Linked DNA regions of Mus musculus: region 2 is reported to be linked to region 1. Evidence: microRNA targets listed by miRTarBase, many of them from high-throughput screens and not tested one by one. Region 1 holds a microRNA gene; the other region holds the end of a gene's coding sequence.
The links. The annotated mature microRNA mmu-miR-5118 reads AAGGUUAGGCCAGCCUGGU and lies in region 1 at 8,166-8,184, shown strand. An mRNA with a match to its seed (bases 2 to 7 or 8) in the 3' UTR can be bound and repressed. Matches are read on the target gene's strand: a 7mer-m8 pairs with bases 2 to 8, a 7mer-A1 pairs with bases 2 to 7 and ends in A, and an 8mer does both.

Region 1 (16,134 bases):
AACTTTTTCCGTCTGTTCTCTTCTGAGAGTTTGCATCCGGAAAATAGCAATTGTAGAGCTTGAAACTAGAGCCCTTGAGCATTTGGAGTGGGAATGCAAACTAGTACAACCTTAGTGGAAAATAATATGGTTGATCTTCAAAAGAAAAAATTAAAAATAAATCTAATGTATGGTTCAGTGATCCCATTTCAGAATATATAAATACAAAAGAAAAAAAATTAAGTCAAAATTCCAAAAATCACTACCACTCTCGTGTTGACCTTAGAATTATTCACAATCAGCAAACTATAGGAACGATCTAAGTATGAGTCAATGCATGCATCATCTTACCCATATGTGAGCCCTAAGAAAAACAAACAAAAGCCTGCCAATGTGTGTCCACCTGGGCAATAGTGGCCTGATTGTTGTGGGGTAACCACCCACTAACTGGACTTGAGGCTGCCTTATGGGAGAGAATCCAAGTCAGGTACTGTAGCCTCAGTAAAAGCCCAGGCCTAAGGAGGCCAGAGGCCCAAGAGGGGAATTTTCTATGGCTGTTTAACTAAGTTGACATAACACTAAATTGCCTTCTAAATATCTAAGTTCTTACACATTGATGAAAGCTACTCTTAAACGTAATCAGAGAAGCTACTTTTTTGCAGTGAACAGTAGTGCCCTCAGAGGCTCATGGCTGCATAAGATGCTGAGATTAAGTAACAGTTGAGTTCTCCAACCAAAACAAGACATCACACCCTCTAATTACTTTCATTTAAGTACTGACGAACAATGAAGAAGAGGGCAATGGAAGTAAGAAATAATCAGAAGATAAGGTGAAGGGCTTAAAAATGGCACCCTCTCTACATTACAATTACAACATAGCTCATGAGGCCATACCTCATGACTGTTCACTACAGTTACACTCTGGGAGAGCCAGAACAACTATCTTCAGTTGTATCTAAAGCCTACCAGACTTTAGTGGATAACTCCAAACCCACGGTCATAGAGATGGCCTTACTTAAACTCAATGGCTCACAAAACAAAACAAATAGATGTGAATCTAAGAAATAAATTTGTCAGGCTGAAGATATGGCTCAGCAGTTAAGAGCACTGACTACTCTTCCAAAGGTCCTGAGTTCAATTCCCATGGTGGCTCACAACCATTTGTAATGGAATCAGATGCCCTCTTCTGGTATGTCAGAAGACAGTGATAGTGCACTCATATACATAAAATAAATAAGTAATTCTTGAAAGAAAGAAATTTGTACAGGGGACAGATATTCATAATAGGGAAATGGGTGAGAGTAGCCAGTATGTATTATGTTTATGTGTGAAATTGTTAAAGGACAAATTTCATTAAATAGTCATTTAAAGGATGCAAAGTAGGAGAAATAGTCTTCCCCAGGGAAGAGCACGCCAATTGATTACCCAATACCAAATAGTTAGTCCTGAAAATATATGCATACAAGTAATATTATAGGGACTGACTCTGTGTGTGTGTGTGTGTGTGTGTGTGTGTGTGTGTGTAGTGTTTAAAAAAATAAAGTCCAGGCGTGGTGGTGCACGCCTTTAATCCCAGCACTGGGGAGGCAGAGACAGGCAGATTTCTGAGTTCGAGGCCAGCCTGGTCTACAAAGTGAGTTCCAGGACAGCCAGGGCTATACAGAGAAACCCTGTCTCATAAAACCAAAATAACAATAATAATAGTAATAGTAATAATAATAATAAATAAAGAAGCCAGGAATTTGAAAAAGAACAAGAAGAACACACAGAGCTGTTTTAGAGTAGAAAGGGAAGGAGAGAAATGGTGTAATTACATTATAATCTCAAAAAGTAAATAATAACAATTCATCTTTAAAAATATATAGACAGTAAATAAATCACAGTATAATTCCTTGACATATGCTGAACAAACTCAACCAACATACTCTCCCACAGTCCCTCGCTCAGACATGTTCATTGCTGCTTTAGCCACAATAGCTAAGAAATGGAAACAACTTAAATGTTCTTCTAAGATGAATGAATAGCAAAAAATATGGTACATATATACTACAAAATATGATTTAGCTGTAAAGAAAATTGAAATCATGAACGTTGCAGGTAAATAGATTGAACTAGGAAAGATCATATAAAGTGAGGTAACGCAGACCCTAAGAGACAAATTCTTCATGTTCTTTCTCATAGGAGGCTCCTAGCTCCAAACTTTCAGGTGTGAGTACATAGCCTGAACCGACTACAGAAACCCAGAAAGTAAAAAGGGACTATTGTCAGAATATAGAAGGTGAGGAACAATGTAGGTGGGTGTGGACTGCTGTCTATATGCAGGTGAGGGCAGGCACAAGGTGAGGTAGGAGCCTGAGATTCGGCAGTGGAAAAGGGAGGCCGGCCGGGGATTTTAGAGAGACGGAGGGAGAGAGAACAGAGGGAAAAGGAAGGAAGATAAATGAAGAAAAGGACGATCCAGATACAGCGTGGCCTTAAATAGCCACAGGTAGCTATGGCTATCTTATAAGGGATGGATAATTACAGGACAATTTGTCTTAACTAGGTGGGCAATTTATATCATTATCAATTGCCTCTGAAATTATTGTGTGGGCATCTTGTGAATTGAGAATTTATTGATATATAAATCTGACTGATTAATTATAAGTTTCTAGAGTTTTGGTTTGCTGGATTAAAGGGATTTGGAACAACTAGCCAAAAGGGGTAGATGGCTGAGAAGGCAGAAGTGGCACTGAGGTGAGCAAACTGGAGCTGGAAAGACTGCCTTATGGGGCTAGCCCAGAGGTGGAGAGAACCCGGGCAGAGAGTAGCTGGGTATTGCACAAATGGTGCAGTTCTTTTTAATATTTCCCACAACCGGTGGGAATAGCAGGAAACAAATAATCTGATCAGAAAAATGGGGAAATTAATGAGCCTCTAATTAGAGAGAAGAAGAAAGATGAATAAAGATGAAAAGGGAAGAACGGTAAAATAACAGTAACAATATCTTAAAAAGTTAAAGCACTTAGACTATTAACTATCTACCACCTCCCCCACAACAAAACTAAAATACATACAAGTCATTGTATAAATACAGATATATGGTTTAAATGAAATTTTCTCATCTAGACGGATAATGCTCCCTCCAAGATCCAAAGATCATCTAACAAATCTAACATGGGAAGCCCTCTTTTGAGTTGTTTCCCAGGATTATCCAAGAGATTCCTGAAACCTTACAGACTATTGCCATTTCCCTTGGTTGCACCACCCAGAGATGAAAAGTAAGTTTCTATTTTTTTTGAAGGCATCATATACTTCAGATACAGGGCCCAGAGGCTCCTGAGCTAGAACTGATGTCTAAATGTCTCCTCCCTGAGTACATGCCACCAAAAGATGTCATGCAAGCTTTCAAAGGAGGGAAGAAACTGAAAGACTCCAAAAGGAGCCCCTCGCTCAGGCCTCAGGACAATAGCGGACACCCAAGAACTCACGATAGACCGAGCTTGTTGCAAACCACATGAAGCTTTATTCGGGGAAAGCCAGAGCTCTGGGGACGACTCATATCCCACGCAGGGGTAGAGGAGTTAACCTCGAGGGGAAAGAGGTCCCAGTTTTTATAGGCCCTCAGGGGAGAAAGGAGAAGGGGGAGAGTAGGGGATTTCCAGATCTAAACAATATCTATTCTAAAATGATTGATTCTTCAAGAAATGGGTATGGGAGGGAGGCAAGGAAAGAGCCTAATGAAGGTTCAGCAATGGGCACACACCTGGTCAGGAACATTGGCAAACACACAGGTTCAAGGAGTGGCCAGAGCATTGTGCACCTCTATTTTTCTAAATCAGTGAAGCTAGTTCTGCTAACACTGACATCTATCTTGCCAATTTCAGGGCTTCTGTGTCCTTTTACATTCTGTCAGGATCTTTCAAAACCAACAGTCTTATCCAGGTGTAATGTTTATGAATCACAAAAATGACCAGCATGGCACAATAACCTTAGCAGTGCAATAGTGGCACACATGCCTCAGACGTAACCAACAGCTCTCTAATTGGACTTCAAGCCAGCTCATCAAAGGGAATCCATGCTTGATGCTGGAAACCAAGCTAACTACTCAGTGCTATTGAAGTGATGGGTCTTAAAGGAAAGCCTACAACTACTGTTTCTAAGCTAAGACAATTCCAAACTGCATTATAAGTATTTGTTCTTGTACCCACAGATAAATATAGTCTTTACCTACCCCTCATCAAGAAAACTTCTCTTTGCAACAGACACAGAGCATTACAAAAAAACCACAACCAACTGAAATGCCATGTTGTGGAGATAATGGATATATCTAAAAACAATCCCCACATGTGAGGTTCATGGGACACTGCAGAACAGGGAAAGATTACAAGAGCCAGAGAATCAGGGAATTTGCTGTGAGACTGTTTCTCCCAGTAATGTCAGACGATATGCTCACAAATTTGCAACAACTTGACTGCCTAAGCATGGGCTGACCAAGGATAGCAGTAGACACTCCAAAAGGGATAGGTGAAAGCCCTTGTGGCCTCAACCCGCACAAAGAACTATAGACAAAGACTGCTGAGGGTGGGAGAGACAGTCTTCCCCCAGGGGAGAACATACAAATCAGTTGTCCAATACCAAATGGTTGGCCTTGAACAAATGTGTAATGTTTTATAAAACAAGTAACATTATACAAACGGAGTGGTTTCTATTTAGGAATATATCTATATTCAAGTCAAGTTCACAGAAACAGAGATCAGAACGGCAGCTGCCAGCATCAGGAGAAAGTGGGGTAGATGTTCAAGGATAATTTTCCAATAAACAAGTCATAAGACATATTGTACCTATAGTTATCAACACTACAGTGTGTGGTCTAAAAACTTTTTAAGGAAGTAAATTTCGATCACTTTGTCACAATTTCTTAAGGGCCACAAATTTTACAATGGTGATAAATGAAGACATAGCTGATATTTTCAAAAGAACATGTAAGAGAAATAATTTGAAAATGAAGGGTGATGAACATTGTGCCAATGCACTTGTGTTTCTACTTTACATAATTTGCATCACATATAAAGCTAATTCATCTGAATATTTAAGAACCTGAAAACAAAACTGTCTAGCTTGGTTTAAAATCCTCCAAAAGACGCATAAAGGAAGGTAAGTAATGCAAGCCTCTTTCAACAAAACTCTAGCATTATCAGTGTATGAGATTTATAAATGGGAGTGATACAGTGATATCAAATGGTACACTATTTAATTTGGATGTCTAGGTTGATATAAGGCATCTTTTTTCTCATATTTTGTCACTAAATTCAAGCATAGAAGTGAACTATACTGGGAGTTCCTTGTTTCTAAATGTCACATTGATTTAAAATATAACACAAGTATTAATTGTTAATATTGACAAAATAATTATTTCTATTATAAAATCACTAATTTTGTCTCACTCTAAAATCCCATTTTATATGCATTCTATAATATATCATAATTGTATCTTGATTTTAAAGCAAATATCCATTTTTGGTAGAGTCGATGAATTTATCGGATGGAATACCTCTAGGATTCAAGTTGGAGAGAAAGCCAAAGGCAGCATTTTGCTCTGTTTTAAACACCTCCAGACTGTGGGCCTCCTTTCTCCCCAGGGTTCGTTGGCCACTAGCCCATCAGGACAAAGGAACAGAGTTGCTGACCAGTGTTTCGGGTGGCCTGGGAGTACAAATGGAAATGGCAACATTCCAGGATCAGCTTCGGGGAGACACATCAACTTTAATTGGCATGAGTCAAGCATTATGTAGTTTGGGGAAGGAGGTAGAAATATCCAGGGTGGGCAAAGGTCACTGGCTTCGGGCTAAGGTTCTGAGATGCCTCACTAGCATGGGGAGGCACCCCAGGAACCTCAGGTGCTAAAAAAAAACCTGTAATCTAGCCAAGACTACACAACATTCTCAAGGTAAAGGACATGGGGGTTTTGAGCTCCCCAGACAAGGTCAGTGAAGGAGAAGCCCTGCTGGTAAAGAGAGTCTGACCTTTTGCACCAGGCTCAGGGCTTTCAGATGTCACACTTCAACCTTAATTACCGGGGTTTCTCCTCCACACAGGGCCCCCAGTCCCTTTAACTGTAGAAATAAAAGCAAGTAAAAGTTTAAAGGACAATCATAGGCTGACAAGAAACAAAGGGAATCACAAAGCATCAGTACAGAAAGTGTGGTTAAGGTAGCCAGAGTGTAGTCTTTGGTGGATGCTAAAAGAGATGGGATGAGAGCCTCCCACCTGATCAAAGAATAAGGATTCCTCCCCGATGCCCTCACAATGCATCCCATGCACACTCTGTTTTGTGAAGAATCAGGAAAAGCTCTACTTTCAAGGTAGATATTATTCCTGAGAAGGAGTTGTGATTAGATCAGTTTGGATAATTTACAATGTGACAGTTCTCTTCCTAACTCTTCCAACAATGTAAATTTCCTCTAAGCAAATAAATAAAGAAGAGCCTTCTCAAAAAATAAGGGCTTCAGAGGGAGAAATCTATTAACCCAATAACTATGTCGTTTAAGAATGACTGCTGTTTGACTGGAGAGATGACCCAGCAGCTAAGAGCACTAGTTGCTCTTCCAGAGGTCCTGAGTTCACTTCCCAGAAACCACGTAGAAGATCTCACATCCTCTTCTGGCATACAGATAGAGCACTCATATACATAAATAAACAAATCTTTTTAAAAATAGTTTTTAAAAAAAAGAATAATTGCTGTTCATTGCCAAAATAAAATGTTTCCAACTCCGAAGCTTTCTCAATTTTTAATGAGGAATCAAAGTAAGAAATGAATTATAATATTGGGCACACATTTGATCCCAGCGTTTAGGAAGCAGAGGCAGGTGGATTTCTGGGAGTTCAAGACTAACATGGTCTATATAGCAGCTTCCAGGATATCTAGAGTTACATAGAAAGACAATTAATTAATTAATAAACAAATAAATAAGACTGCATCCCAATTCACAAAACAATTTTCTCTTATTATAGAGAATATATCTGTTCCATTAAAACAAATTTGACCATGACTTTCTAAATGATTTTTCTTTCCACTGATAAACCCACACCTTCAATTAGTGTCTGTCACCTACTCAGCCGGCCATATCCTCTACATATCCTCTACATATCTACAACAATGTTACTGTTCTCCTTCTTGTACTGGATTATTATTCCATATGTTTGTAAAATTGAACAAGCTGTCCTTCCAAATGAATATGTCTGCAAACTTTTACTGTTCCCATAAGCCTTTGAAGGAGCCAAGATTTGGTCCTTGGAGAGCAGACAGCACCACTAAGAGTTGAATCAGAAGGCAAGGTAAGAGTAAAGTCTTCTGCTCTGTGAGAAACACAGCCGTGTGAAAAAGTGATTACAGAACACATAAAGCACTTGTCGTGTACAAAGGTCCAACCTATAAACTTTCCATCACCCTCACCTATATCTCTATCAGCTCAATGAGATAAGGACTATTTGGCTGACCCCATTTCACAGATGAAGAAAGGAGGTAGTTTGGCCAGCTTACTCTGTCATGGTAGCTCTTAACCATTGTCCTGCCTACCTCCAAAATCCTTCCTTTTAAAATATTAACATTTTCTATTTGCATTCAAGTCAACCAATATTTAACAGAGAGAAAGGGAAACATCGTAACTAGAACACAACATCATAATTGGCATAAAACATTGTCCTGCAACACAGAGAAACAGAGTATCTTCACGGGTTGAATGATGAGGAATAACTGCCCAGGTTTTTTTTTTTTTTTTTTTTTTCTCTGCCTCTGCGCTACAGTGAACCATGTGACCTCTCTGAGCTTCAGCATGTTTATCTTCAGATTAGATGGTTGAGAGAGAAGGTCTCGAAAGACTCACTACCTCAAACATTCTAAGAGTCTGAAAGCTGCTCAGGAGAAAATGAAGCCCAAATCAAGAGAACAATATAAGTAACGTAAGTAGCAAAAATAAGTGAATGAATAAATATTTTTTTAAAAAAAGAGGTACAAACAAAGGAGTTGAAATAGGGGAGAGGAGGGAAGAGGAGACTCACATGGAAAAAGACTCTTAGATGATGGTGTTGAATTACTGAGCTTGCTGGGTGGGGCTATTAAAGAAAGCACTACTTGGTGACACTGACACATGCATTTAATCCTAGTACTTAGGAGGCAGAGGTTGGCTGATCTCTGCTTGAGTTCGAAGGTTAGGCCAGCCTGGTCTCCAAAGAGAGTTCCAAGACAGCCAGGACTACGCAGAGAAACCCTGTCTCAAAGAAACCAAATAAAGGATAGATAGATAGATAGATAGATAGATAGATAGATAGATGATAGATAGATAGATAGATAGATAGATAGATAGATAGATAGATAGATAGATAGATAGATAGATAGATAGATAAGAAGTGTTATTAAAATGTAATACCTTTTATATAACTTGTTGCTTTCAAATAACAATAAGAGCCAAGTCCAGTGGGAGGCAACTAACTACAGCATGAAGTAGACAGGTAATACTGGGGGGGGGGGCGGGAAGGAACACAGGCTGGAGAGCTGGGGAAGTGCTTAGGAGGGACGGGGTTTCCTGGGTGGAGGCTGCAGGGGTGAACCACGAATTCACAGGAAAGAAGAGCAGCACGCCCAGCGGCGCTGAGCCAGGATCACGCATTCTTCACATGCCCCAGATATCTGCTGTCATGGTCATCTCACCCCCAATCCTTCACTCTGTCCTCAGAAACATCTGGCAGGCTAGCGTTGAAACTGTGGGGTGAAAGTCAGCCAAGAGTGTCTAGAAATGAGTTACTTCTCAGATTTAATTACTTCTCAAAACCTGTCTGGAAAGAGGAATGACGGAAGATGCAACCTGGCGCCCTTCCCTGCCTCCTTCTGGAAATGGAGAGAACCCAAAATATCTGAAAGCTTCTAAAAGTTTTGCTGGATATGAATCTTCTGGGTAAACTAATGTTTTTGATTTGTACATAAATCAGATCAGGTTTTTTGTTGTTGTTATTGTTGGTTTTTTAACTGGGTGGGTCTCTTATTGAAGACAATCCCAAGGGACAACATGAAATCACAGGTCCATAGACCTCACTCTGCAGGGAAAGGCGTGTCTGCCTTCTTACCAACTCCAGATCTGATGTACGTAGAAGTTCCTGACCCGGGCCTCTTCCAGATTTTACGTTTGTGAGAGTCAACCAGAGGCCTGAAGCATCTGGAACATTTTAATATCATAAGTTCTGATCTTCCTCATGTATTTGAGAAGTGAAAATACTTGGGCAGTTATTCCTTATCATTCAACCCGTGAAGATGCTCCGTTTCTCTTTGATGTAGGACGTTTCACTCCAATTTTGATGTTGTGTTCTAGTTACAATGTTTCCCTTTCTCTCTGTTAAATATTCTACTTCTTGCTGTCTGAGTTATAAGAACTATTTTAAAGTCAGTTATACGAACTATTTTAAAGTCGGCATTGGGCACTTACTGTATCCTGTTGTCTGGCTTATTTCTCATCAGGAGTTTTTCCTGTTTGTTCCTTGATACCAGGATACCGTGGTGGTCCTGCCCATATGGGGTCGCTCCGCTTCATGTTCATTCCTCCTGAAGTGATGAAGCAGATAGAAAATGAAAGAACAGGCTACACAATACCTTATTATGTGCCCTAGCCCACAACAGAGCTGCTAAGATTGAAAGCTGTAACTTTCAGTGGATTTGGGGCTCAGACATTGCAGAAATAGCTGTTCTAGCGGCTGCTGGGTTGCAGGACCTGGGGGTTGCTCGGAGGCCATTCTGCACTACTTATTTAAGCTGCTCACTCCGTGTACCTCTGTTTCCTCGACTGCCAAAAGGGAAGTGCCTTTCTATGTTTCTGCCTCGTGGCTGCGATTTTGGACTCGTGGGATGCTGGGCCACCGACATGCCGCTGGGAAGGTGAAATTCTGTCGAAGACAGAGGTCCCAGCCCATGTTCTCCCGGTAAGAAACAGCGGGGGCTAGAATGGAAGTTGTGGTTCTCAAACTCCTGTGTACCCAGACACTGCTGGAGACCAGGAGCAGTTGGGAATGGGAGCCAGCAGGTCCAAAATGAGTCCAGGAGAGGGGAATTCAGCTTAGCTCACGGTGAGTGCCAGAAGTAGAGGGGCCTTCTATGGGAGTCATAGGCTTGACTCTGTAGGAGGAAGGTCTCCCAGGCAGTCCTTGATAAAAGAGACAATCCTTGCTTGTCCAAACTGTTTTATTCATGGTAGATGAGGATGAAAACACTCAAGGTAAACCAGAGATTAAATACCATTTGCCAGAAGGGAAGCCCATTGGCTAAACACTAGAGACCTATCCAAATGTCTCATTATATAGAGAACTCTAGGCTCTATGCTACATGAGCAGTTGTCAAGGTCCTCCTAGTGGGCTGTCCTAGTCACGTGCTGCAGAACCAGAACCTGGTCGGGAGCTAGATCGAACTGCTGCTGTTCTCAATTATGAGATTTATCGGTGTTCTGAACTTGCTACGACCTTACCAGTTCTTCCGTCTGGTGGCACAGTCCACTGCCCCACAGGGAAGGGTCATGGTGCTTGCTGTGTAGGGACTATTTGCAACATGAAGTGAGTCCATTCAGGTAAAATGGCATATGGTCCTTAGTGGACACGGTAACCGCTAAGAAATGTTAGTAACTTACTATCTTTAAAATCTTTTGTTCTAGGACCAGGAGTCAATAAGAATTATAGACCTTTCCAGAAAAACAGCTGCCAGACTTCCTCACTGGCAGAAGGCAGATTCTGAGCATATCATGAGACTCCACTCTGAGGGAAGAGCTTGTTCCCTTCTCATATCCATACCCCTTCCTCCTCTAAGTAGGTGACTCCCCATTAGTGAGGCTGTCAAAGAAGAACAAGCTCAGATGGTGGAGGAAACAAAGCCTGTCTACTTTGCTCACATTTCCTGTGTTTATTTCCTCAGCTCTGAAAGTATACACATGAGTAACATTATTATACATACAGGTAACATTACTGGATTGAACAGGTTGTATTTGGGGATATATATGTATACCAATATACATATATGCATGCAATAACAATTAGTGAAACAAGAGATCATGAATTTAAAGAGGATGGGGAGAGGCTTATAGGAGGCTTGGAGGGAGAAAAGGGAAGAAGGAAATATTGTGATTATATCATACCTCAAAAATAAAAGCAATCGAAATTTAAGATAAAAAGAACTGCCAATATAAATGAGTAGATCACTTGCCAAGTACATGCAAGGTTCTGCACTCACTCTCCAGCTACATGCGTACGCACGCATGCACACACACACACACACACACACACACACACACACGGACACACACACGGACACACGGACACACGGACACACGAACACACGGACACACGGACACAGACACACACAGACACACCCCAAAAGAATAATGAATACATCTTAAGGTTTCATTGTGTACTCAACACTTTGCTAAGTGTTTTTACACTAAACAAATTCAATTAGACTTTGTAACAAGCCTATAGAATAGATGTGAATATTGTTTCTGTTTAATAGGTGGAAAAGCCAAGGACTAGAACATGTTTGGACCTCATACTATCTTGACACTTAATTTGCTTGTTTTTCAAATTAACCAACTATAATAGCTAGCTATACATCATTTCATAGTGGTTTATGGAGAACCCCTTCTGTTTTAGGTACTATGTTACTATTGAGAACTGAAAAAAACATTACTTCCATAGAGCTGACATGCAATTTAGATGAGATGGACATTATACATGGCATGTAACATAGCTAGAACATTAAGAGATGATTATTTTAACCGGAGGTAGGGAGCTGCGTAGAGGTCAATAAGAGGAGATCAACATGCAGAGGGAACCACAACCAAAATAAGAGATCTAACTGAGCTTCATCAGGAAGCTGAGATCTGAGCAAGGTCTAAGGGAAGATGGGAGATTTATCGGGGTGGGACCTGGAACAAAAGGAGTAGTATCTAGTGCAAATGCCTTCTTATTATTACAGTTTAAATTTACTTATTATTATTAGAGTTAAAAATTACTTAATTTGTCAGGAAATCAGTGAAAAGGCCAGGATGACCTGGGAAGGAAGTGAGGTCAGCAACACAAGGTCAAAGCCATAGAGAGCCTGTCCGCCATTATAAAGGTGGATTTTACTCTGAATACAATGATTATTAAGTCTTAAATAAAGTAGTACTGTTGGTGAGCTTTTAAAAAGAATCTGCCTATGCAATGTATTGAAAAAAACTAAATGTGTAAGGAAGCAAAAGATAAAGTCAGAGGAACAATTATAGATGTCAGAATAATTAAGATGAGGGATGGCTAGAGATGGCAATGAGGAAGATAGTGAAGTGTTTTGTTTTAGTCCTAAATGCAGCTTACATAAACTAGGAAAGAAGCATGGGAAAGCCCTACAGCTTCTGAGTTGAGTTGCTGGATAGCATTAGTACTAAGATATCATTGACAATATCAAAGCTAGCTTGAGCTCTAAACGATTTGCATGACTGTAGGGGAAAATAAGGGAATTGACTTGGTGCTTGCTTAATTTGAGATGTCTGCTAAGCTACATCCAAACATATCAAATAGGCAGACTGGTGTGTTGTTATAAAGCTTGTGATCCCTGGGAAAACACCATAGACTCAATCCAATTATAATTAAAAGATTTATTGATTAGCTGCTAGCAGAATGAACAATCTCTGAGCCGCATTTGTTTGCTATGAAGGAGGGGAAGGAGGAAAGGCGTTCAAAGGGGAAAAAACCTTATGAAGACCTTCAATATCTATGCAAGCAAGTAAAAAGCTGTTCTGTTGTGACAAGTTAAGTGATTAAGGCAACACAAAATAATCTTTGGGCATCTGTGTAAGCAAGTTCCAAAAGCAATAAGATCAGTTAGTCAAATCACAACAAGTAGACAGTCACAGTTATACATTTTTGGTTGGGGGCCACTGAGCCAGGGTTAATGGGAACTTATCATTCAGGAACTGGAGTCAAAGAAAATTGGCTGCTGGGTACCAAGATAAATGCCTGACATAAAACAGAGGTTCTTTAGACATAAGATTTGTAAGCCTGAATCTCAAGGGGGTCCAAGCTAGAGATGTGACTTGCAGTAGAAGCAGTCACATTCTTGTGCCTAAATATAATTAACTGTATATGTGTAGTTCTAGAGCATTGCATTGCAATTAATAAGTCCTTGAAGACAGATAGCAAGAAAATGAAAACTGAGGGAGAAAAATAGTCAAGATGACCTAGATGTCAATAGATTAAAAGGAGAAGGGGGGAGGGGGGAGTCAGAGGGAGTGATCCACTGTGTCAGATACAACATGAGTCATTAAATTGGCCATTAAAATTAGTCATTCAGAGACCAAAGTTGACTTTAAGGAGTACATTTTGGGTTTAACAAAGTAAAAGAATGAAAGCTAGGTTGCATTGCATTGAGAACAATGGGAGAAGATAGGCTGTAAGAATAGAAATATGGCAGAGAAGCACCTGAAAAAATGTTCAACATCCTTAATCATCAGGGAAATGCAAATCAAAACAACCCTGAGATTCCACCTCACACCAGTCAGAATGGCTAAGTTCAAAAATTCAGGTGACAGCAGATGCTGGCAAGGATGTGGAGAAAGAGGAACACTCCTCCATTGTTGGTGGGATTGCAGGCTTGTACAACCACTCTGGAAATCAGTCTGGCGGTTCCTCAGAAAATTAGACATAGTACTACTGGAGGATGCAGCAATACCTCTCCTGGGCATATATCCAGAAGATGCCCCAACTGGTAAGAAGGACACATGCTCCACTATGTTCATAGCAGCCTTATTTATAATAGCCAGAAGCTGGAAAGAACCCAGATGCCCCTCAACAGAGGAATGGATACAGAAAATGTGGTACATCTACACAATGGAGTACTACTCAGCTATTAAAAAGAATGAATTTATGAAATTCCTAGCCAAATAGATGGACCTGGAGGGCATCATCCTGAGTGAGGTAACACATTCACAAAGGAACTCACACAATATGTACTCACTGATAAGTGGATATTAGCCCCAAACGTAGGATTCCCAAGATATAAGATACAATTTGCTAAACACATGAAACTCAAGAAGAATGAAGACTGAAGTGTGGACACTATGCCCCTCCTTAGAATTGGGAACAAAACACCCATGGAAGGAGTTACAGAGACAAAGTTTGGAACTGAGATGAAAGGATGGACCATGTAGAGACTGCCATATCCAGGGATCCACCCCATAATCAGCATCCAAACGCTGACACCATTGCATACACTAGCAAGATTTTATCGAAAGGATCCAGATGTAGCTGTCTCTTGTGAGACTATGCCGGGGCCTAGCAAACACAGAAGTGGATGCTCACAGTCAGCTAATGGATGGATCACAGGGCTCCCAATGGAGGAGCTAGAGAAAGAACCCAAGGAGCTAAAGGGATCTGCAACCCTATAGGTGGAACAACATTATGAACTAACCAGTACCCCGGGGCTCTTGACTCTAGCTGCATATGTATCAAAAGATGGCCTAGTCGGCCATCACTGGAAAGAGAGGCCCATTGGACACGCAAACTTTATATGCCCCAGTACAGGGGAACGCCAGGGCCAAAAAGGGGGAGTGGGTGGGTAGGGGAGTGGGGATGGGTGGGTATGGGGGACTTTTGGTATAGCATTGGAAATGTAAATGAGCTAAATACCTAATAAAAAATGGAAAAAATATCAGATAAAAAAAAAGAATAGAAATACAATATAGGAAAACACTTAAAGGATTTAGGAGAAAAGGAGTTGAGTCAGCTGGATGGCTCATTGGAGAGGTTGAGTAATAATGTTGCTGTTGTTTGGGGATGGAGATGCAATTCCTGTTTGTTCACTGAGATGAATAGTAGAGTAGATACAGGGAACAGATGGGGAGAGGGGAGAAATACATAGACAAGAGAAGATATTTGCTGGAGAAAATTTCCCACAAACCAAAGTTGAAATAGGGTTTATGAACAAACTGTAGAGTTTGTTCTACAGGAAATAGGATATATAGGACATCTATAGTACCAAGTGGGAAGAAATTTCGAATCGGAGGACCATGATAGAGACCATTTGAGAGTCCAAGGCGATATCTGCTCTAACAAAAAGCAAATTCTGTCAACATGAAAGTAGATTGCAAGACATTTATTATAAAATAGTATAAATAAATAAAAATGTAGAAATAATAGAAGGAAAGCAAGAGAATGTGGAGTCTGTGCCTGTGAAAGAAGAGAGGGGGATGTGCAGAGCCTTCCACTCCAGGGAGAGTCTGGAAGTCTGAGACTAATGGAAAGCTTCTACACTAAGATTTACTTTACAGATGTTTTGCATCTGACATGAGGGTACAGCTCTATTAGACTCTCCAGTCATTGGCCTGGGCAGTGTCGGTGAAGAACCGCCATGATATAAACCTCTGAACCCGAAGTGTGCAGTACCTACAAGCTATCTGGCTACTTCCTGCTTCTGACGGATCCTCAGCAGAAGAGCTCAGTGACAAACCTCTATGACTGCCACCAAAGCACAAAGAGATGAGAGAAGAAGCAAACTACCATCTGTGATGGCAGGTAGAGAATGGGTGATTCTCAGTCAGCGTGAAGGGTCTTTTGAAAATCACGTTCCTGATTCATGTTGTGCTTTTGCCTGGATGTGCATAGATGCTCAGATTTAGGGCCCAGGGCAAAGAGAAAATAATTCCGTCAGGGTAGAAGTCTAAGCCATTGAATACAATAAAGCAAGATAGGGGCTTGAGGTATTTGAGGACGTATGCACAGAAGTGAGCAATAATTGACAGAAAGAAGGACATCATGACTTAAAAAAATAAGTAATCAAAGAAACAAACAAAATCAGTCCCAACAGACAGAAAACAAATCATAAACAGATTGTGCTAAAATAGGGCATAGATGAAATTCAGATACTAAAAAGAGAAGACCAGAAATAAGACCTTATGATTAGTGATCAGAAGATAGGACACAAAAGTTGAGACACTGAATTGTAGTTATTAGAAATAAAGGGCCTTGTACGTTACCAAGACAAGTAATGATGATGGTGGATTAAAGGGCAGTTAGAAAGCGGAGAGAAAATTCAGAACAGAAAGTGGGCAGTTAGAGACCTTACTTACATGTATGTTGAAATTAGCAAAAATAAGAAAAGAATAGTAAAAGGGA
Region 2 (16,134 bases), not on the chromosome of region 1:
CTTTCCTCACAGATAGTCCTTTGAGGACAACCTCTTCATTTTAGCTGAAAGTGGATTCTTAGGAAATTAACCTGAGACTAAACCAGTTGGTTTGGTTTGGATGGGAAGGCTTTAATAATCCTTACTGAAAAGACCTGTTATGCTTCCTTTGTACACCGATTTCCCTCACCCTCACTCCCTCCCAACAAGAACCAGACAAAATGTCTGCCTGTCAAACTTCTAGAGAGATCCCTTAGCTAGACCTGGTTGAAAGGGGGAAGGCCGGGGAGAGCTCACTGGGATGTACGGTACTGACAGGGTTGAGGAGCCTAGCAGATCTCTGTTTAAATCAGGCCTGCCATATGTAAAATGGAGGTAATGACAACCAATGTTGCTGTTGGAAGAGTAAATGCAATAATTGTATGAGAGGTATTTAGTATGATCCGGCAACATGCTTTTGTAAACGTGTGCGTTAATAAACACACAGGATGCTTATTAAATCGTGCCCATGTGACCAGACCTTGGGGAATGAAGCAGGAGACCGGAAGAAAAGAAAGGAGTTGAACAGAGGCACTCAGGAGCTCTGATGCCAGGAGGGTTTCGTTTGGTTGGTTTTGTCTATTTGTTTTGAGATAGGCTCTCTCTATGTAGCTCTGGCTGTCCCGGAGGAAACTCACTATTTGGATTAGCAGGCTGGCTCTGCCTAACTCTGCTTTCCAGTAAAGGAGATTGGTTAAAGGTGTCTGTCATGACACCCATCAGGAATTCTATGTATTTATTCTGATGGAGTCTTGTTATGTGGCCCTGGCTATTTAACTTGTGGTAGTTCTCCTGCCTCAGCTTCCAAGTCCTGGGTTTGCAAGCACATGTTACCACACTCAGCTAGAGAAGTGCCCTTTAGAATCATTAGAATTGAGGCAACCCTGGGTTCTTCCCCATCACGAATAGTCTCTGCGTGCAAGCCATCTTGGGAAGGGGACCTGATTTTTGATGAAGTGGCTCTCTCAGGCAGAAGAAATAATTTCTTGCAGCTGTCTTTGAGAATAATTACTATTCCCCAGTCCTGGGCAATCCAGTGTCCATCTCAATAAGTCACTCAGGATAAACACAGCTATGTAGATGAGCCAGGAGTCTGACCTCAAAGCCTGATCCATACTGACTGTTAGTAATCTAATACTTCTTTTCAAACATCTGTAATTTGGAAGGAGGTGAGGCATGGAACGGAGGAAAGCAAGGTGTACCAGGTAGGTACTTGTAGCTTTGCCAGTCAGTTTAGGGTGAGGGGAGGGAGGTAAAGCCGGTCACATCACTGACACTTGGGGAAAAGGAAAAAGGAAGACATCAGCTTTAAACTTTTGTGCTCATCTCCCCATTGCTATCTCTCCCCAGTACCCACCCTGGAAACGGTCCTCCATTGACAGGAGCTCCACTCAGACCGGAGAACTGACCTTGCTCATCTAGGTACTGAGAGAGTCCACAGGAGCAATTCGAGGGTGCAGACCTCTCTTAACGCCCATATGTCCTTTAGCGCTCACCTTCCATGTTTGTCCTTATGAAAGTCCACTGAGAAGCCAAAGTGGCTGCCATTGGGACCTGCATAGACGGAGAACTTCTCAGAGTCCAGGTTCAAGGCCCAGACTGGAGGAACAGCACTAGGACCCAAGAACAGTGGTGTCCACTGCAGAAGCCACAGGGAATGCCATGCGCAGGAGGCTCTGGCCATCTTCCTTCTTCCCAAACGTCCTAAACAGGAATGGGCCAGCTCTTTCCCTTTCCCTGAAGTTCCCACCACCGGAAGTTTCAGCTTATCAGACTGGAGCTCATGGCTGAGCAGCAGGCATGGCAGAGGGCAATAGCCTCTAGACGTCGACTAGGACGGGGGAGGGCCCACCCCGGGGATGGATGCTGATGGCTGGAAGTCACTGCTTCCCCTTCCTCTCCAGGAAAGCTCACCTCCATGTCCTGTTGTCTCTGTTTCTCAGCCACAAGCCCGGCAATCCCCTTTCTCTTTCTCTTCCTCTGTCACTGTGAAAGTCCAGCCACCATCCCTTTCTGCCTGGGAAAGTATAACCATGAATTCGCTGCCTGGCTCACTTTGCCATGGCCCACAGTTGTACAGCTCTTACCTCCCCCATGCAGCTGACCATCCTGCTCTTGAATGCTGTGATGTGGCCAAGGGGAGAGGAAGGAGTAAGCAAGCTGTTCTCCCCTGATAAGACCAGAGGCTGTCATCATTTTGAGTAGGACATTTACCCACTTCCTCCCCCATGAGCCTTTGGGCAGCCTCAGCCGGTTGCATTTGACCATCACTTTCCTCACGTCTCCATCTTGAACCAAGTCTTAGTGTGGTTACACTGGAGCCTTCAATACTGGGCAGAGGGGTGATGAATGGGTCTTGGCCTAAGTGGGGGGAGATGGAGCTAAAAGGACATCATTCTGAGGTGCGGCGTTCACAGTCCTCGAGGTTGAGCACCAGCTGTTCAAGTGAACAGCTTTGCTCCTTTTTGGTTGACAGTATCTACATAAATAAAATAGATTGAAAGATAGCTAGAATAGAACCTTCCAGAACTGTTTGTGGACGGAGTCACTGACTAGGAGAAACCTCGTGAGTCCTCAGGATGGCACCATGGCATACACACACATGGGCATGGTACCTGATGGCACTTTTTACTGGGTTGAGTACCCGAGTCCTTTGAGAGCAAGGGTTCTTTCTGCTGTCCTAGGGCCTAGCCCACAGCCCAGCATGTAGTGCTGCTGAAAGGCTGAATCTGAAGTCTTCCTAAAGGATGGAAGGAGTAAACAAAGTGAGGAGGGTCAGATTCTGCGTAGAAATATTCTTCTCGGGCTGGAGAGATGATGGCTCAGTGGTTAAGGGCACTGACTATTCTTCCGAAGGTCCTGAGTTCAAATCCCAGCAACCACATGGTGGCTCACAACCATCCATAATGAGATCTGACACCCTCTTCTGGTGTGTATGAAGACAGCTACAGTGTATTTACATATAATAAATAAATAAGTCTTTAAAAAAAAAGATCCTTCTCTATGGGGGTAGGGGGCAGAGAGCAGAAGAGCACCACGCATGCCCTGATGGTCTTGCTTGCCTTTTGCCCCAAGGCAAAGGGTCGTAGGACTATAGCCACACCCTCCTTTAAGTCTTTTCTTTTTTCCCCTCCTTTTCTGCAGTGCTAGGGATAGCCTTTCGAATGCAGGACAAGTGCTCTACCATGAAGCCATGTCCCCTCCATCTTTATTTCCATGAATTAACCACTGCCTTATCCTACTTTACCACTCTCCCCTCTTCTGAAGCACTCCTAACTCTTCCCTTCCTCGCATGCCTCCCCTTAGCACACAGCCTAACATTTTACCCCTCACTAAGCAGAAAGCTCCTTGGATTTTATTCAGGGCTCTCTTCACTGGTGTGTTTCCAGTGCCAAAACATGACAGGTATGTAGTCAGTCACACACCAGTGTCTGCTGACCCTCTGTCTCCCTACTGTTCCCAGATAAGTGCTTCCTGAATTGTTGGTCTGTTCTGTGTAGCCCAATATTGACTCACATCACATGGTAGTTTTTTGCCTTACAATTAAAAAAATTTTTTTTTAATTTATTTACGTATGTGAGCACACTGTCACTGTCTTCAGAAACACACTAGAAGAGGGCATTGGATCCTATTACAGATGGTTGTGAGCCACCATGTGGTTGCTGGGATTTGAACTCAGGACCTTTGGAAGAGCAGTCAGTGCTCTTAATCCCTGCGCCATCTCTCCAGGCCCTTGCCTTGGATTTTTTTTAACCACAGTTTAAATCCGTTTTGTGTATGTATGTATGTATGGGCATGTGTGCCAAGGCATGAATATGGGGGTTCACAGCTTTTTTTTTTTTTTTTTTTTTTTTCCGAGACAGGGTTTCTCTGTGTAGCCTTGGCTGTCCTGGAACTCACTCTGTAGACCAGGCTGGCCTCGAACTCAGAAATCTGCCTGCCTCTGCCTCCCAAGTGCTGGGATTAAAGGCGTGCGCCACCACGTCTGGCGGGTTCACAGCTTTTAAAAATTGGTTTTCTTCTACCATGTGGGTCTCAGGAATTGAACTCCAGCCATCAGGCTTGGCACTGAGTGCTTTCACTCACTGAGCCTTCTCCCTGTCTTTGTTCCTTCACTCTTACCCCTTGTGGCCTCTTTTCAAATCAGGGTCTCAATAGCCCAGGCTGGCCTTAAACTTCAGATCTTGCTGCCTCCACCTCTGGAGCTGAGACTCCAGGGATGCCACTACTAATGCTGGTTTATGCACTGGAGTAGACTCTTTGTTGTTGTTTTTCAAGACAAGATTGCTCTGTGTATCCATGGCTATCCTGACATTTTGTAGACCATGTATGTTAACCTCAAACTCAAAGAGATCTGCCAGCATCTGCTTCCCAAGTGCTGGGATTAAAAGTGCATACCATGTGACAAGCTTTATTATTATTATTTTTTTAAACGTATTGTTCACGTGTGTGTGCTTATTAGCACCATGTGTGTACAAGTGCCACAGAGGCCAGAGGGTTTTGGTTCTGCAGTTACAAGCAGTTGTTAACTGCCTGATGCGGATGCAGAGAAGAGCAGTAAAGCCTCTTAACTGCGTCTCTCCAGCTCCACTTACCAGAGTTTTAGAAAACAATTTCTATTGTTTGAGACATAAAAGCTACAAAGACAAGTCAAGAGTCTTAACTCAGTCTAGAGCAGGTTAAGCCCAGGACACTCAGGACCGCCACCCGGGGACAGCAAGTACGCCTTGGAGAACAGAAATTACGAAGTGGCTCTAGAAAGTGGATCCGGCTGGGACTATTTTAGGAAGACAAAGACTAGCCTCAGCAGAGTTCTGGGTATACTGTCCACAGGTGGAATGCCACAGGTAGGATTCAAGCACAGGTTGCTTTGTCTGGTTGACACTGGGAATAATACACGTAACCAGAGCAGGAGACCAGAGCTCAGGAATCAAGAGGAGGAAGTAGAGGGCTAAGTGAGGAGTGCGTAAGGGGTGGGTGGGTTATGAGGGCAGGAATGGCAGGCAGGGACTCACAACACTGAAGGGGACTTGAACGCCACACTAAGGAATTTGAACATCTATTTATCAGAGATGGAGCGTTCTAAAGATTTTCATTTTATTTGAGACAGGGTTTCACTATGCAGACCAGGCTGGTCTGGAATTCGAGAGATCTGCTTGCCTGTTGCTCCCTGAGTGCTGGGATTAAAGGTTGTGTTAACATGGCCAGCTATCTAAAGATGTTAGGAAATCAGAGATTAAGTCACCAGGTTTAGTGAGATGGCTCAGGGGCAGCAGAGGTCTGCAGGCTTAATGGTGCGCGTTCCATCCTCATTGTACAAGGTGGCAGGGGTACCAGCTCTACATGCTTGCCAGCGTTCAAGTACAAAATAAAATTAGGAAACAGATTGTGCTGGCTAGGTTTATGCCAACTTGACATCTATTTATCAGAGATGGATAAGCTAAAGTCATCTAAGAGGAGGAAACCTCAATTACGAAAATGCTTCTTCCCTCCCACCCACCCACCAACCCCCTAAAAAAAAAAAAAAAAAAAAAAGAGAGAGAAAGAAAGAAAATGCTTCCATGAAGACTGAGTTGTAGGAGGCAAGGGCCCAGCCCATTGTGGGCGGGGCCATCCCTGGGCTGGTGGTCCTGGGTTCTGTAAGAAAGCAGGCTGAGCAAGCCATGAGGAGCAAGCCAGTAAGCAGCACCCCTTCACGGCTTCTGCACCAGCTCCTGCCTCTTGGTTCCTGCCCTGAATGAGTAGGAATTCTGACTTCCTTTGATGATGAACTGTGATTTGGAAGTGTAAGCTGAAAACCCTTCCCTTCCAACTTGCTTTGGTCATGGCATTTATCACAGCAGTAGACACCCTAAGACAGTGAGATTCAATTTAGAATATGACACTGGCTGCCTGTGGCTACAAGGAATGGAGAAGGAAGGAAAGATCTTGTGTTAAACCCAGCTGGGTAGGGCAGAATTCTGGGTTAAAGGTGGTTAAACGCCTGAACCAGATGGTTAAGAATGAGACAGCAGGGCTGTGAGATGGCTCAGTGGTTAAGAGCACTGACTGCTCTTCCAAAGGTTCTGAGTTCAAATCCCAGCAACCATGTGGTGGTTCACAACCATCTGCAATGTGATCTGATACCCTTTTCTGGTGTGTCTGGAGACAACTACAGTGTACTCATATACAATAAATAAATAAATCTTAAAAAAAAAAAGAATGAGACAGCAGAGATGGACATAGTGACACAAGACTATAATCCAGCAATTGGGAGGAAGATGACACACCAAGCTTGAAGTTAGCCTGAGCCTTATACCAACCCACCAAGGCCATCCAAGGTGACAGAAAAAGCAACTAAGTACAAAATTAGTAGCTGGAAGTGACCAAATGTCCTCCAAAGGCTTGGTCCCTGGCTGGCTGATGGGGTGTGTTACCATTAAATAAAACCAGATGCCTGAGGTGGGAGGACTGCATTGCTTTGGTGTCAGAACTGGGTTATCTTGCGTCTGAAAGTGGGTTGAGGACTGGCTTTCCTATTCCATCAGTCTGTGGGCATGGAATGCCAAGGAACCCAGTTCTGTCTAAGCATCATTTAATCTACAACCATCAAGCTTCTATTACGGCTTTTTCATCTCTTTTTACGGAGATCTAAAAATTACCTTGCTGGACTGGTGAGATGGCTCAGTGGTAAAGAACACTGGCTGTTCTGAGGTCCTGAGTTCAATTCCCAGCAACCACACAGTGATGCATGACCATCTACAAAAGGGATCTGATGCCCTCTTCTGGCATGTAGGTATACATGTAGACAAGAGCATTCCTACATTAAGAAAAATGTCCTCTCAAAGCTTATGATTGACTTTTTTTTTTTTTTTTTAAGACAGGGTTTCTCTGTGTAGCCCTGGCTGTCCTGGAACTTACTCTGTAGAGCAGGCTGGCCTATGAACTCAGAAGTCCACCTGCCTCTGCCTCCTGAGTGCTGGGATTAAAGGCGTGCGCTACTTTACTTGAAGCACTGAATGTAGGATGAATGGCACTTGGGTTCAGAAAAGATGCAACGCTTTAATGGGGCAGGGGGTTAGATTCTAGCCAAGGAACGCCAGCTAGGAAAGAGCTGGTTGAGTTGGTGTGGGTGAGGTGGAGCTTTCTGTGGCAACAAGAATAGATAAATAGTCCTCCAGGGTGTAAGAGGGAGTACTTTCATGTTTCAAGACTAGCTTGGCTGAGCCCTTATCAGAATAAAACAACTGACTTGACAGAGCTCAGGCTATGCGGCCTTGTCTTTTCTGCTTGCCACCTTCCTTGCTCTCAGAAATGCACTTTTCAATTTCTATCACTGTCTGAACAAAGATGCTTGGCATTTGAAGCACAGTTCTGAGCACTCAGCTGTGGTAGCTAGAGAGCAAACAACTGTATCCAAATAAGGGAGGAGACAGACATCACACAGCTCTGAGATACTGAGGAAGAGGGAAGCCATCACTGGACCCCTTCCATGCCAGCTCTCCCTGCCCCTCCTGATGTGACTTCCTGGTGTGGATGAAGACTTTTGCTGGCTTCAGGCTTATAGGCCAGGCAGAAGCACTCCAACATTACAGCGGTAATCAGAGTTGACTATGGTAACTCAAGCCTGGTAATACAGAATTTCACCTGGAGGTCAAAGGCTCAGCAGATGAATCTTAAGTGCACACTTCCAGTCACCTGCCTAAGACTGGAAAAGCATCCAGGTAAAGCATCTTAAGGTAAACTAATCCTGATCATGGGCTACCTGAGTGCTCATAACAATTTTCAACATTTCAAGCTAGCCTAGAGGGCCCATTATCAGACTGCGTCCAACAGGACACTGTTTGTAACCCACACTCCCACCTGCCCCAGCCTATGCAGCAGCAATCACAACAGACTCCACTAAGTTTGCACAAAGCACTGGTTTATTAGAAAGCTCCTTCCCCTCACTTTACAGCATATACATCTCTATCATATGTGATAAAGTTAGATACAATCTGTTATGCTTGTATGTAAGGATAGGTTATCCCCCCCCCTTTTTTTTTTTAAAGTTTTAAAATCACTATTCTGGAAGTTAAGGAAAACTACCTCCAGGATGGCAGAGGCGGCCAGAGCATGGCTAGATCTACAACCTAACGAGAAGCAGCACAAAAATGTTAATACTGTTTTATTTAAATATTTACACGGGCTGAAAGCAAGAAGAACCAGTCCCTTCACTTCAAACAGATACCGTTTTTCCAGGGCTAGTTATCCTAAAAGTGATACTTGTAAGGGGACAATGAGCAGAAGGTAGGAGAAGCTCAGGCAGGGACGGGCCTCAAGTGCCCAGCACTCACTTCCCTAACACAGCCCACTCTGCTGGGAATTTGAGAAGGCAGGAACAGAGAACCTTGGCCTAGGCAAGCAGGGTTAACAGTCAGTTGACTGCTTAACCAGTTCTAGTCATAGGAAGAGCACTAACAAAGGAGATGAGACCTGCATTACAAGCACCTTTGGGTCAGTGTTAAGGAGGGCTGAGAGCCTGGGGGAAGGGCAAAGGGGAGAGGGATGGACAGACTTCTGGTCAGTGTCACTGGAGAAAAAAAAAAAAAGGAACCTCTACTGCTGAAATAGCAATCGAGCTGGGCAGACGGCACAGAACTTTGAAGCCAAAAATCTCTCTACCTATAAACGTGCTCACCTCCCAACAAAGAGAGAACTGTCCCAACTCTAGTATCCTCTGGTCTACTTCTATTTTAGTGTCTAGCCAACCCACAAGGCACATTTAAAAAATTGTCAGAGGGGGCTAAATACTAGGAAGGCAAATAAGACTGTCTGGAACAAGGTACCCAGGGAAACCAAAGGACCCCTTTTCCCAGACAATCACCGAGTGTCACTGCTTCCAGAGAATAAAGCTGTTGAACCAATCCTCCCCTCCTCCATGGAGTCCACGGTTTCTCTGTATAACAAAGCACGTCAGGGAGACCACTGCAACTGTGCATCCTCCTGACAGCAGCAGCCGCCTGCTGCTCATCAACCCGAGAGTCCCAGTGCAGGATGAACCAACTACTGCAAATTATTTAACACTGTCCCAGCAAACAAAACAAAACAAAAAAAAGTGTCAACATTTTTATATAGTTCATAACTTCAAAAAATACAGGAGGTTGATAAAATATACATGCTTAGTCATTTTTGCATCTAGCAGAAAACAAATATTTTATTTTTTTTTCTTTTATAACCTTTAAAGTTTCTTAATTCAACTAGGGCAAACATATTTACAGAAAGCCACCAGAACAAGGATCACTTAAAGAGCTGGATGTAAAAAATATTATTGCAGTATACTACAAATACGGAACCTTTTTAATATGAGCTACAAAAAGCAGCATTTATGTTTATAGAGTTCAGTGCAATTTTACATTAAAAAATCCTATAAATTAAGAAGAAAACATCAACATAACAGAAGGAAATATACCCTTCAGACACGAGCTCCTTTCTGGGAAGCACATGGGTGACCCTATGTTCAGTGTAGCTTCTACTCACGATAGGATCTTCTTTTCTGGGATATGTAGATGCCTCTTCTGGGATGAGGGGCATGAGGACAGTAGTGCCAAATGCATGGCTCTGTTTGTAAGGAAAGTGGATCAAATTGCAGCCTGAGTTGCTTTTGGTTCTAGGTTAGACTCCCTCTTCCACCTCACCTGGGATAACGTGTCACAAACGGATAGTCAAAGACACTGCCGAAAAGTGGAGTTTTCACCACTGAAGAGACAGCCTGGCCTTTCTCGTGGCACTGAGAAGGCAGGACCAGATGGGCCCATGGCAAGTGCTTTGGTGACAACCCATTAGAGGAGGAAAATGTTTTGAACTTACAGAGGGGAAGTGCAGAGGATCAGAAAGTAGAGGGAGGAAGGAGGCTTACTTGACAGTCTGGAGATGTTGCTGCAGAGGAGTGTGGGTAGCACTTACTGGTGTTCCCTAGCTTAGAAACACAGGAGGGAGGGACTAATAGAAAGGGGGTAAATATCCCTGATAGTAAACCCAAAGCAAACCTCAAATCTAAATCCATCCCTGCAAGCCAAAACTCATTTCTTTGGCTGTCAAGACACTGCCCGTTCCAGCTTTTACCTGCTGGTATAAATGGCTCAACACCCCCAAGGGAAGAACAGGCCACCTTCCCTGGCTCAACACAGGCTTCCGACTCCCAACTCAAGTCCCATGGCTGGGAGGGTGCTGCAGGTCCTGACCTGAGAAGATGGGGTGAAGCAGTGGGTGAAGATGGAGGGCTGTGGCAGCTGCTGCAGCAGGCCGTGGGGCAAGCAGGGTGGGGTAGAGGGCAGCGTGTGGGACGGGATGAAAGGTGAAGGGCCCAGGATGGATGGCTGAGGCAGGAATTATATGGATAGGGTGGCTAGCAAGAAAGGTGGCAGGGTGGCCAGGGATAATTGAGTGAGTGAGATGGGACAAAGAAATAGGGGTTAGATGGGGCTGGGGAATATGATGTACTTGAGCAAGCGGCTGAGGGTGGGGGTGAGGGTGAATGCCAATGGCGGCAGCAGCGGCTGCAGCATGATGCTGTAGGATGGCATGCTGAACAGTGGTGATGGAGGTGGCAGAGGCTGTGGCTGGCTGCTGAATGTGGATGGGCTGCAGGGCTGGTGTGGCTGGAGCTAGGGCGGTGGAGGCTGGAAAGGCCTTCACTTGTTTGGCCAGAAGCTGCTGCTGGATGTGCTGCTGTGCAGCCTGCTGGAGCTTGCTGTACTTCTCCATCTCCTCAGGGGTGAAGGTGATGGGCTGGCTCTCGAGAGGAGCCAAGGAGGCATCCTCAGTCCCATCTGTTGATTCAATACTAGGTTCCCCACTGGGAGGTGCATAATTGGGGAAGTGCTCAAGGTCTGGGGCTATAGGCAGCAAGCTGGATTCCACAGGGCCTGGTTGACTGCCACTATCCAGAGACTCCAGAGTATCCCCATCACTGGGGTCCGGGAGGTAGTTATGGGAGATGGCTGGATCCCCAGGGTAGCAGTCAGTGTGGGCTGGGGTGCCTAGCGGAGCCACAGAGTGATCAGCAGTAGCTTCTTCAGACTTTGGCTCTTCTGGGGGAGGGTCTGATAAGGGACCAGCTGCTTCCTCTGAGAACTGATGCCCAAATGGAGCATCACTACTCCTTGGGGACCCTTCTTCTGGCTCTGAATGTTCCTGCTCTTCTCCCCTTTCTAAGCCAGACTCTTCACATTTCTTATTGGACTTCCGGGTAGCTGGAAGCTTCCCTATCATTGGAAGAACAGGCTTATTACCAAGAGACGGGGGGAGCTTAGGCCCAAAGTAACCTTGTGGGGGGTTCTTGTACTTGAGCCCAGCCTTATTAGGGGTGGCCAGCACCTCCTCGCACACATTGGGTTTCCTCTCCACTTTCCTGGACTGGATCTTCTCTAGCAGCAGTCTGGCAGTAACAGAATTCTTATCTTCAGGACTGCAGTCACTTTCTGACCCCCTTCCTGTGCCAGTATTGCTATTCTGGGAGGGCAGGCCTGCTCCTTTACTGTCATCTCCTCTGCCATCTTCTTTCTTTCCAGGACCTTCTCCCCGACCTGATTGGAAATAGTGGGGGGATTGAGAGCGGTAGATCTTTGAACGAATGAAATCCCGGCGGCCAGAGCGCCTTTCCTCTGGGCTCTCATGACCCCATGAGCCCTTTCTGGAGCCTGATCTCTGAGAAGGGCTCCTGGTGCTGCGGCTCCGGTCCCGGCTATAGCTTCGGCTTCGCTGCCAGCTGTGGGCTGTGGTGCTGCGACTTCTCCTCTTGCTTCGACTGCGACTACAGCTGCTACTGCGGCTTCGACCCCGGGATCTTGATCGCTCCCTTGTATGACTCCGAGATCGGCTTCGGGACTGGCTGCAACTGAGGCTATAGTCATCATCAGATGATGAGTATTTGTGTCGTTTAGACCTGTGTTTGGAGCTGGTATAGTCTGAATCATCTGAATCGTGAGAGCGCTTAGAGTGCCTTCGTGATCGGTCGCTATAGTCACTATAGCTATCATCAGAGTAACTGTGCTGTCTACTATAGCAGCTCTGGTCTGAAGAGGCATCAGAGCTGCTAGAATAAGAGCGCCGGGAGGAACGATGTGAGGAATGGCGATGGCCAGACCGAGAGCGGCTACGAGAATGCTCACTACCGGAGTCTTCATCTTCCTCCTCTTCTTCCTCCTCCTCCTCTTCCTCCTCCTCACTGTACTGGGATGGAGACTTCTGGTGCAGTCGGTGTGAGGAAGCATCATCACTATCCTCATCACCACTACTGGGTTGGCTCCGATGGCTGGACCGGCTGCTATGTTTGGTGTTAGCTCTCCGCTGGCAGGAGGAAGTTGGTGGTTCACCTTTGTGTTTCCTCCCACTGTGATCTTGGCAACTGCTACCACCCCCACCATCATCCTTCTTGCCACTGTTTCCTTCTTCAGCAGGAAGGGATCTCCGCTGGGAATCATCTTGAGCTCGGCGCCGCCTTCTCGGTGGTGCCGGGCTGCCGCTTCCAGGAGGTTCTGATTTGGGTCCGCGTTCAGAATCAGCTGCGGCTGATGATTTGTTCTTCTTCCGTTTTCGTTTCTTGCGCTTCTTAGATTTCTCCCCAGACTCTGCCTTAGAACTCTTCTCTTCCGTGTCAGCCTTGTGTTTACGTTTGTGCTTGCTGGATTTTTTGTGTTTCTTTTTCTTCTTGTGTCTGTGAGACTTGCCTGATGGTTCTTTCTTGCTAGGATGGCTTCTCCCAGTGTCTTCAGTTTCTGACATATGGCTACCCCCAGGCTCCTGCTTGTTCAGGCTGCTACAGGCAGCCCCTGATGCAGGTTCATCCACTCTGCCTTCTGAAGAGAGCACTACATCCTGCTCCTCTTCCTGGCTTTTATTCGGTTCTCTAGGATCAAGGCTCTGGAGATGATCCTTTGAGGAGCCTGCGACATCTTTTGGCTTTTCTGTCCCTTTAGCTTTAGCATCTTTGTTTCTTGAAAGTTTAAAGTCAAAGTATAAAGGATTACAACTGTAGGAGATGGAAGGCTCTGCTTTGGTGAAAATGAGTAGTTCTGATGGCCACTGGAGGGCAGTGCTTTCATCCTTGCTTAAAACTGGAAAGAATGGACCAGTAGGATGCTTGGGTCCCTGGCCTGCTTTTGTTGCTGGGGTGGCCTGAGAAATGTCTTTAGGATTGGACTCACACATCGGGCTCTCTGACGTCTCCCTACTCTCTACACTCTGCTCATCTTCCCCTCCTCCGGAGCCTTTCTTTGTTTCAGTTTTACCTCCAGGCTCTGAAGGCCCAGCCACAGCGGCTTCCTTTTGCAGCTCAGAAGCTTCACTCACTGTTCTTTCTGCCCCTGGGCTTGCTGCTGTCTTACTACAGCCTTGCGGCTTGGGAGAGCTGCTTTTTCTGTTCTCGGGGGCACTCTTTGAGTGTGCACTATGATCCCCTTCCATCTGTTCACTGGCTCTCATAAAGAGTAAGAAGGGGAAATTAGGTTTGACCTTGCAGTGTGCTGGGGGGATGTAGTGGTAATATTCTGGCTCTGTAGCCCCTGTTCCTTCTTCCCGTTTCATCCTTTTCAACTTGGACAGTGTTGAGGCAAGGGACCCTCCATCCTGAGGGTCTTCATCTTCTTTCTTTCCATCAAGATTACCAGTGCCATCAGTATCTCCCACCTTCTGCACCCCTTGGTCAGAGCTCTTCTCATCAGCCTTCGTTCCATCTTCTGAGCTCCCTTCCTCTGCATGGTCCTTGAAAACGGATGCTATTGATTCAAGTTTGACGGGAGCTTTCTTGGCAAAGGAAAATGATACTCCCAATTTCTGCAGTGGGGGTCCCAGATTATTCTTAATGCCAAAGCTAATACCTTGGGAGGCTAAGCCAGGAGCCTGTGACAGTCCAGTGGTATTAGTGATCTGTACTGACGTGAAGGAGCCCCCTTTATCTGTGGAGAAGTCGGCTCCAAAGCCACAAGAAGAAACAGCACTTGCACCACTGTTGGTTGATGACTCATCTTTATCCTCTTCTCCACCATCCTCGTCTACAGCCACCGTGGTTGGTCGGAACATGGGCCCGCTTCCCGGTGCACTATACAGTGGTTGAGAAAGTGAGAAAACAAAAGAGAGGATTCGAGTTATAGATCTTATATAAAACATTCGTCTTTTTTGTCCTTCCACTCATCATAGGTTGGTCTCAAAGATCCAGAGTGGCTGTCCCTAGCAATGTGCTGATGAATGGGACTTATTGAACGGAGGTAGGCAAAGTTTCATTTGGTTCAAGTACCAGGTTAAATTCCCAAGGCCAGCAAGCTATTGCTATCCTTTAAGCTGTTTGCCCTACAAAAAGGCTCAACTTCTTTACCAATAGCATCTCACAGTTTCGTCTTTAATCTGTTACCAAGCCTTTTTAAAAAAAAAAAAAATTTTTCTCTGGGGCTGATGAGATGGCTTAGTGATTAAGAACACTGGTTGCTCTTTCAAAGGTCCCAAGTTCAGTTCTCAGCAACCACATGGTAGCTCACAACCATCTCTAAAGGGATTTGATGCCCTCTCTGGCATGCAGGTGTACATGCAGACAGAGTAAATCATGTATTAGAGCAATCATATATTTAAAACAAATTTTTCCTTTTCATTTTATTTTAAGTTTATGTGCACATTTTGCTTTTATGTATGCCTGTGTATTACATGTATGCATTGCCTTTGGAAGTCAGAAGAGGACGTTGGATCCCCTGGGATTAGAGTTTATAAAAGAATGTGAACTGGAGATTGAATCCAGGTTCTCTGAAGGGCATCTAGTGCTCTTTAACCACTGAACAATCAATCTCTCTAGCGCCCCCACTTTCAAGATTACATGTATTTGTTTACTTGGGGAGGGGGGGAGATAGACAGAAAGAATGCATGTTAAAGGTCTGTATTTAGAGGCTAGAGCTAGTTCTCTCCATATACCATGTGGATTCTGGGGTTTGAAATTAGGTGGCAAAAACCTTTACCCACTGGGCCATCTTGCTGGGCTTGCAATCTTCCTACCACCCTACCGTAACCTGGCATATAATCAACTATGCGGATATACAACCATTCCAAAGGTTATTCTACAGGGCATGGTGGTTTAAGCCTTTAAGCACAGCACTTAGGCGGCAGAGACACAGGATTACTATTGAATTCAAGATTGGTTTCATCTATGCAGTGAGTTCTAGTTCATCCTAGACAACATTTAAAAAAATTTCTCTTTCTATTTGTGTGTTCATTGATGCCATGCCATTCATGTTGAGGTTAGGACCTGAGAGTTGGTTATCTTCTTCCATTACACAGAGCTGGTGGGAAGCGTTTCAAACTTTACTTTTATTTTATTTATTTATTTATTTATTTATTTTTGAGACAGGGTCTCACTATGTAGCCTTTGCTAGCCTAGAACTCATTTTGTATATAGGCTGACCTTCAACTCAGAGGTTAGCCGGAGCATTAGGAATAAAGCTATGCCCTACCACACTCCATTCAAATTTCTTTTTTTTTTTTTTTAAAGATTTATTTATTTATTATATGTAAGTACACTGTAGCTGTCTTCAGACACACCAGAAGAGCAGAAGAGGGCATCAGATCTTGTTACAGATGGTTGTGAGCCACCATGTGGTTGCTGGGATTTGAACTCCGGACGTTTGGAAGAGCAGTCGGGTGCTCTTACCCACTGAGCCATCTCACTAGCCTCCTTCAAATTTCATTTAATAAAAAGGAAGGAAGGAAGGAAGGAAGGAAGGAAGGAAGGAAGGAAGGAAGGAAGGAAGGAAGGAAGGAAGGAAGGGGAAAGGGGAGGAAAAGGAGGAGGAAGAGGAGGAGAAAGGAGTAGTAGCAGTAGAAGATACTAGTTTGAATCCAGAAGGCTGGATTTACAAGTATATATGCAGCTTACAAATTTAATATATACACATACACATTCTGAATTAAACATAGCTGGAAGCCTCTACTGGACTACCATGTGGTTATATTTGTTTTAGAAATCAGATGGGCAGTGGTGGCACACACCTTTAATCCCAGCACTCGGGAGGCAGAGGCAGGGGGATATCTGAGTTTGAGGCCAGCCGGGTCTTCAAAGTGAGTTCCAGGACAGCCAGGGCTACACAGAAAACATGACACTGGATTGTACTTAATCAC

Region 2: the mRNA of Gpatch8 is a reported target of mmu-miR-5118. Seed matches in the 3' UTR shown: 8mer at 9,648-9,655 and 7mer-A1 at 8,017-8,023.

The regions. Positions count from the first base shown.
Region 1 is chr16:55,486,605-55,502,738 of GRCm38, forward strand. It overlaps Mir5118 (microRNA 5118), which reads left to right and starts at 8,127; the gene lies at 8,127-8,193. It overlaps Gm45968 (a long non-coding RNA gene), which reads right to left. Exons shown (of 6, transcript XR_001782016.2): 2 at 9,438-9,553.
Region 2 is chr11:102,468,011-102,484,144 of GRCm38, forward strand. Gpatch8 (G patch domain containing 8) reads right to left here. Exons shown (of 8, transcript NM_001159492.1): 8 at 7,905-14,077. The coding sequence ends at 10,183. Itga2b (integrin alpha 2b) reads right to left here and starts at 1,873. Exons shown (of 30, transcript NM_010575.2): 1 at 1,515-1,873. The coding sequence starts at 1,702.